2 linked regions of the Ovis aries genome follow. The protein of the gene in region 1 interacts with the protein of each later gene in a pairwise test. Links are inferred from orthologs where the notes say so. Each region holds a gene or a part of one and is shown on either strand. Other genes may lie near its edges.

Region 1 (3,642 bases):
ACAAGACCTCCTAGAACTAACACCCCAAAAGATGTGCACTCTATAACCCGTTTTTGTTATAGGGGACTGGAATGCAAAAGTAGGAAGTCAAGAAATACCTGGAGTAACAGGTAAATTTGGCCTTGGAATGCGGAATGAAGCAGGGCAAAGGCTAATAGAATTTTGCCAAGAGAACACATAGCAAACCCCCTTTTCCAACAACAGAAGAGAGGTCTACACATGGACACCACCAGATGGTCAACACCGAAATCAGATTGCAGCCAAAGATGGAGAAGTTCCATACAGTCAGCAAAAACAAGACTGGGAGCTGACTGTGGCTCAGATCATGAACTCCTTATTGCCAAAATCAGACCTAAATTGAATAAAGTAGGGAAAACCACTAGACCATTCAGGTATGACCCATAAAGAAGGCAGAGTGCCAAAGAATTGATGCCTTTGAATGATGTTGCTGGAGAAGACCCTGGAGAGTCCCTTGGACTGCATGGAGATCAAACCAGTCCATCCTAAAGGAAATCAACCCTAAATATTAATTGGAAGAACTGATGCTGAAGCTGAAGCTCCAATACTTTGGCCACATGATGATGTGAAGAACTGACTCATTGGAGATGACCCTGATGCTGGGAATATTGAAGACACAAGGAGAAGGGGGCAGCAGAGGATGAGATGGTTAGATAGCCTCACTGACTCAATGGACGTGAATTTGAGCAACGTCTGGGAGATTGCTCTGGAGGACAGAAGAACCTGGCATGCTGCGATCCTTTGGGTCACAGAGAGTCAGACACAACTTTGCAACTGAACGACACCAAGACGAGGGAAACTAAACAAGTTAATTGAGAGTGTTGTTTGCATGAACGTGGAAAAGGCATCAGAAACCTCCCGAGTGAGAGCAAACCTGGTCCCTTCCTGAGTTTCATCCAGGTGAGCTCGTGGGGACCTTGGAGGCAGCGCGGGTCGTGGCGGTGCCTGCCTAGCGCCCGTGGCCCGCAGTCACGGCCTCTCGCTTCATGTGCTTTGTGTCGTGAGATCTCACGTGTGTCCCTTCACACGGATTCACGTGGGGGTGCATGTGTGCGTGTTCTGGTCCAGGTCCATCCAGCGCACGTGGAGTATCTTAATGTCACGTCTCAGATGCTTGTGAGCAGGAACACGTTCTCAGTTTCCATAGTCTGTCCTGGAGCTTTGAAGTGTTCAGACTGGACTTCTGTGGGGTCACCCTCAGTCCCAGGCGGCTTGCTCTGCTGGCTCCTGGTGGCCAGACACGCTGGGGTGTAGTGGGGCATAGTGGGGCGCGGTGGGGCGTGAGCTCGTGCAGAAGCCCCAGGCTGCTGCAGGTCAGGGGGAAGTGGGGCCGTGTCACATAGTGGGCCGAGCAGCATGGAGAGTGACTGGTGTGCCTTTGGGTTGTGGAAGGCGGGGGCTGGGTCCCTCTGAGTGTGAGTCAGACCAGTCCTGGCAAGGGGGTGGTGGTGGCCCGCTGACACTGGTCAGGTGGACTTGGTGACGGACGTGGAGCCGGGGGGCCTTGATGTCCAGGTGGTCTCTGACCCAGGCGGCCAGAGAGCAGTGGCCCGTCCGCTCACAGAGCCAGTTGGCCCAGTCTGTTACACAGAGCTTTGGCAGGAAGACACAGTGATTGGCCAGTTTGCCACTTGCCGGTTAGTTTCCCGTATTTGTGCGCACACAGCTGCAGCACTGGTCCCTGAGCCCCGGGAGCCCGTGGTGAGGGCTCTGCCCGCTTCTCTGTTACAGACTCCACGGAGACCGAGGACTCAGGCGCGTCTTCTCAGAAGTCCAGTGTGTTGACACAAAAGATGTTAAACGCCTTACCTGCTCCTGAGAAGTACAGGAAGCGGAGGATGCCTGGCGGGAGGTTCCAGGCACCTGCAGAGGAGGCCTGTCTCAGCTCTCTGGAGGGGAGCCTGAGTGTGAGCCGGAGGAGCGGTTCGGAGGCCTGGGGCCAGGCCGCCTCTTCCCTCTCGGCCACCCCAGGGCCCGAGCAGCCAAGACCACCCAGCGCCAGCGAGGTGAGCAGGGCTGAGGGTGCTCGCCGAGCCCCCAGGGTGGATGCTGCCCTCACGTGCCCGTCTCCGTGGCGCGGTCACGGCTGCCGTTAGAAAATGCCCTTCTGGGCTGCCTTCTGGGGCGGGGTGCCTTGAGGTGTCGTCTCGGGCCTGCTGCCCACACGGCCGCTGGTCCCGCGGTTGGTGCTCCCCCGGGGCTGTCGTGACCGCAGTCCCAGCTGTGTGTGCTGTGCCTCCCCTGGTTCAGGAGAGGAGGTTCTCCCCAGATTGTCCCACAGCGGTTGTAGACTGTGCCTCGCTGCCATTGTTATGGCCGAGTTGGAGACTGAGACGTTCTCAAAGGTTTGGGGCTCAAGTGAAGACCAGCGTGCAGACATAGGGCAGCGGGCAGCCCTGCCGCAGCGCCCCGCGTGGGCAGAGGAGGGGAGAGCACCCCAGCTGAGAGGGCCTGGGGGGGCGCTGAGCCCCTGTGGTTGGTCCTGAATGGAGACCAGCAGAACCAGGGACGCTGCGCTCGTAGGTGCTGGGTGGTTCGTGGCTGCCGCAGGCCACGGGCCGGGGTCTGCTCCCACGGCTGGTCTGGCTGCATCTTCCGTCTCTCACTGGGCTGAGGGAAGGAGTGAAAATGGAGATTCGCTTGAGTCAGGACTGCTGGGGCTTTCCTGTCCCCGAATGGAGCCGCCCCCATGGACCCCACTCACTGTGGGGTTGGGACTTTGCACAAGGGGGTGCTGCCTGCAGCTCCCCTCCTTCCAGCACTGTGACCCCAGGTGGTTGTCTTGGAGAGGGCTTGACCCCGGTTCCTCAAGTGGGAGGCAGAAGCCTGACCCCACTGGGCTCTTTTCCTGCGCCTGACGCCGCGTCGGTGCAGCTTCTGACAGAAGTGTTGGTGCGGTGCTCCTGGATGCTCTCACCCTCTGCTGCTTGTGGCCAGCTGTTGGCCTCAGTGTGCGCACGTCGACCAGCCCCAGGGGACAGCTGCCCCGGCCCGATGACCCCTCGTGGGCCTGTGCCTTCCCGAGCCCTGGGTTCCCGCGGGTGGGGAGTGGCGGGAGTGAGGGGCCCAGTGGCTCCTGCACCCCCTTCTGGGTCTGGCTGGCTGTCCCAAGATGCTCTTTGGGAGGAAACTTTTGCTTTCTCTAACAGTGAGGGCACCAGGCCTCATCCCAGCTCTGGCCTTGCTGGTATTGACTCGCTAAATCCCTGCTTCTCAGGAAATGTTCCCTGGACACTCAGAAAGTGAGCCGGCGGGTAGGAGCCAGCTCCCTTTCTGCAGTAATCCCTTAAAACTGATGAAATGATTTCTAAAGGGAAGAAAAGTGAGCTCTGATGGAAATGCCTGTGGCTGTGGGCCCAGCGTGGCTGGGGCCGGGTGGGGCCACGAGGCTCTGCCCGGCAGCTTGTTGCTGCACCAGCCCAGCCAGCCCTCCCTCTGGTCCTGTGTGCACTGGTCTACTCCAGGCCACCAGGCTCCAGTGAGCGTTCGGGCCGAGACTGTTTCCTCCCCACCCCACAAGAGTGGCTGGGGCTGGTCAGGAGGGCCCAGCCTGACCAGCCTCTGACTGACACAGGCCACAACTCAGCCGTTCCTCCCGCTGAGGGATGGTTTCCCCGCCCCCCA
Region 2 (4,168 bases), on another chromosome or scaffold:
ATCCTTGCGCAGGGGCCATGCTAATCTCTGTATCGTTCCAATTTTAGTATATGTGCTGCCGAAGGGAGCACATGTGCTGCCGAAGGGAGCATCACTTTTGTGTTATCTTGATCTTCTGTCAGTATTAGGCTAGCCTTAGGATGAGTTAAGCATGCTGTCTTTTCCTTTTATGTGTACCAAAATAACAGATGTATATGTTATTTATATTTAAAATGAAAAAAAAAAAAAAAAGAAAAGAGCAGAGTAACTCACCTTTACTGCATTGCCACCACCTTTGGGACCCTGAGCCTTCTTCTCAGAACTCTCACTCCCAGAGGCTGCTTTTCCTTTAGAGAAGAGATGACAAGTACTCATTTAAACTACACTTTCACCTTATTATTCAACACAATAGGAGTTGATACTTCCATCACAGCACCAAGCTTCAAAAGGGAACTCTGCAGACACTTTACATCAAGCGAAATTAACCTGTAACATACCTCTTAAAACAAGAAATTTGTGCCTTACAAAAACCCTTCATGGAAAATGGATACACAAGTGAGTGTGCTAATAGTTGAATGGGAGCACCAAAAACCTGGCCTGATTTCTCTAGACCCAGTTTGAAATCCTGCCTTCTAAGAGCAAACCCTGGAGCTCTTGTGAGATTTCTAATAAGCACGGCAGCTATGTACTTGGATACTCACAATTATAGGAGGTAAAATGTCCAAGAATATATTTTAAATAAAGATCAAATTTCCTACCACCCATATTTGGGTAAAGAATACATTCATGTCCAAACTCCTGGAGTCAATGACATTGCCTACTGATAACCTTCCTAAGAAGTTATCAATATTCAGATTAACACAATGGGCAGTATTTTACATTTTATTACTGTGTCATTTTGCTACTATGCCAGTTTCTGTTTTGATGGCAGCATATTTACTGTTAGAGGCTGATGTTCCTAAGAACTATTGTTGGTTTAAGTGTTCAGTTCATAAACATTTCCTAAGTAACTAAGTTCCAGACACTGGAGATACAAAGATGAACAAGCCCAAATGGCATAATACATTCCTTCAGGGGGCTCATATACTACTCGGGAATATCGTTATGTAAAATCATGTAAAAGATCATTTCAGGAGGATGAGCTATGCTGTATAAATAGGGGGCTGTGGAAGCACAGAGGTACATTTTAGCCAGTTAAAGAAGGTTTCCTGGATGAGTAGGAGCTGAACAGGCAAAGACAGGACAATGGTGAGGAGAATTCCAGGGTAGGGGAACAGTGTAGTATGTGGGGGGAAACTAGGGACGAAGCCAAATCTGAAGTGGGAGTGCTGTGAGAGGAACCCAGGGGAGGTGGCTGAGGGTTAGGGCATGAGGGCCTTTGAGCCCCATTAAGGAACTTGGAATTTATCCTAGAAGTAATAGGGACGCATTAAAATTTTATTCAGGAGACTCCATCCTGTCTTAGGAACCCCAATGCCGAGCACCCAAAAGTTGTTCAATAAATGTTCCACAAAACTGAATATCCAAAATGCCAACCACCAAATGCCTAAGAAAATGTTACTGCCAAAGGAGTTTTATTACACTAAACTTATTTTCTCTAGAACAAAGATGCCTTCTGGTCATCCCACCCCCTGCCCCAATGGATGCTATCATCTTCTGAATGCCCCTTCACTCCCTCTGACTGAGAACTCTGGCAGCAACTTCAGGCTTCCTTTCCATCCTCACTACTGCCCTAATCTTGGGTGACTTCACTATCTATTCAGAGGAACCATCCAACAGCCTAACCTCACATTTCTAGACCTCCCTCCCAAATACCCATGCCTTTTACTCCAGGCCACCTGTTCCCAGGGGCATGTGATCAAACTGTGCCACTCACAACTAATTCAATCTCTGGCTACAACTTTCTGTTCTTCCAGCCTTCTCATGCCTCACTCCCACAACACAGGTTCTTTAATGTCACAGAAACACCTCCTCCTTCCCCCCATTCAGTTCCTTTATCCTCCTATGTTCTCCTATGCTATCAAACTTCTTCCCTTCCCAGTCTGGATCCCATGCTTGATCATCTGAACCGTGTCCCTAGTGGCATTCGTAATTCCCTTGTGTTGCTTTTCTTCTATTATCATTGTCCAACAAAACCTCAACCTTGGCTACAGGTTATACTTAGCTCGTCTCAATCCTGTATTGTGCCAGTTATATGGTACTAGGTAAATCATGACTGAGCAGATTGTGTCCTACAGAAATTCATAGCCTTCAATCTTAAGCTCTCAGCCCTAAGGGCAATCCTTTTTTAAGTGTTTCATCCCCTCTTACCACCCCAATGACTATTCCAAACGCTTAACACTGTCCTCAAGACCCCTACTCAGTACTTGCCCTGCTGTTTTAAAAACTACTCTTGCCTTCCACTTTTTATCACCACATCCATCTTCATCTCTGTGACGTCAAGCTTAAGATGTCCCTTCTTCTCAAAGTCAACTAACTGCTCTACCTCTTTTTTCCCAAATTTCACTACCCTGTAGCTTTACCTAACTAATGGATCCTTCATGACAGCCTCACTCCCAAGTTTTGCCCATTCGGAAGAAACTAACAAAATCAAACTTTCTTGTAATCCTTTCTCCTCTTCTATCCACCATCTAATCCCCATGCTTTTAAATAAAAACTGAAGTCTGTATTGATTGTTTCTAACATCACTTCCTGGTCAGTCCTCTAGTCACTGGCAACCCGCTGCCTCCGCCCCGGACCCCGGCGGTCTGCTCCCTCCGCCTTGCTCCTCACCCAACCCCATTTCTTCTTGGTTTCTACCTTTTCCCCCTTTTCCAGAACCGCTTTTTCCTTTCGGGGGCATTTCCAAAATCTGCCGTTGAACTCTCAACTGCTTAGGTTGCCGCACAAACCCCCTTCAGGCCCCACCGGTGTGTCCTAAACATATGCCAGAAAGCGGCATCGCAATTGGCCATCCTTACCGTGGCTCCGGAAGCAGGCATATCTTGGGGCAGGCCCGGTCCTTTGACTCTTGGGCCAATGGGGCTGAAGCTCGGACCGGGGCAGAGGGGCGGAGGCAAAGGTTGGGCGGGGCGGGGGGAGTTACGCCTCTGTGCTTTTTGCGGCTTCTTTCACACGCCCTTCTTTGCGCCCTTTCCCCGACTGCCCTACCCGCTTCCTCCACGCGTGCGTAACGGAAGCCGGAGGGGTGGGGGTTGGGGGGCGCCTCTGCAGTCCCTCGGCGCGGGGTTCCAGCCAATCACGCGGGGCAATTAGACAAAGGCATAGCCGGAAGAACCTCGGCGGCCGCCTACCCCTTTCGCGCACTCATACACACCGGCCTGCCCTTCGTTTTAGGTTTTCGCTTTTAGTTATTTTACAGCTTGTAGCGAGGCTGTATAAGTGGCTGAATTTGCCCAAAGCAGTGCCTCAAGTAGTTCAAAGGAGAAAATGATGGGCAGAGGCGGACACAACTGAGCGACTAACACTGCTGCTGCTGCTGCTAAGTCGCTTCAGTCGTGTCCGACTCTGTGCGACCCCATAGACGGCCTCCTACCAGGCTCCTCTGTCCCTGGGATTCTCCAGGCAAGAACACGAGTGGGTTGCCATGTCCTTCTCCAGCGACTAACACTACTACTGTTAAATATTTGCTGTAGTTAGTACCTGTGCAGCTTCCCTGGTGGCTCAAAATGGTTAAGAATCTGCCTGCAATGTAGGAGACACAGGTTCAATCCCTGGGTCCAGGTTCCTTCCTGGAGAAGGAAATGTAAGCTTCCCTGGTGGCTGAGAGGTTAAACCGTCTGCCTGGAATGCGGGAGACCTGGGTTCGATCCCTGGGTTGGGAAGATCCCCTGGAGAAGGAAATGGCAACCCACTCCAGTACTGGGAGGAGCCTGGTAGGCTACGGTCCATGAGGTCGTGTCGGACACAACTGAGCAACTTGACTTGACTTGACTTTATAGGATGTAAAGAGAATTAAACAAGTTTGTAAAGCACATAAAACAATGACTTGCTTGTGGAGTGTTAGCTTAAGGTGAATGAGTTTTGAATTTACATCCTCAAACTTTTTACCCTTATCCACAACCCCTCTTCTCCCGACTTTTGTAAGATCAGGGCTTTTCCTCCACTTCATGCGATAGCTCTCTCAGCTTGCCCATGCCAGCCAGAATGGTCCTCCAGCTCAGAGCTTAGTTTTTGAATTGAGTCTTGT

What was found.
Region 2: the proteins of CEP72 (region 1) and PIN4 interact in binary tests that used the Homo sapiens proteins (3 or more experiments, as listed by UniProt). The two-hybrid records come from large-scale screens. The link is inferred for Ovis aries from reciprocal best matches to the Homo sapiens genes CEP72 and PIN4.

The regions. Positions count from the first base shown.
Region 1 is NC_056069.1:71,549,398-71,553,039, reverse strand, and holds part of CEP72 (centrosomal protein of 72 kDa), read left to right. Parts: intron 1-1,749; coding exon 1,750-2,024; intron 2,025-3,642. UniProt on the Homo sapiens protein: Involved in the recruitment of key centrosomal proteins to the centrosome.
Region 2 is NC_056080.1:64,767,023-64,771,190, reverse strand, and holds the start of PIN4 (peptidyl-prolyl cis-trans isomerase NIMA-interacting 4), read right to left. Parts: upstream 2,875-4,168; 5' UTR 2,822-2,874; coding exon 2,779-2,821; intron 327-2,778; coding exon 253-326; intron 72-252; exon of another isoform or gene 1-71.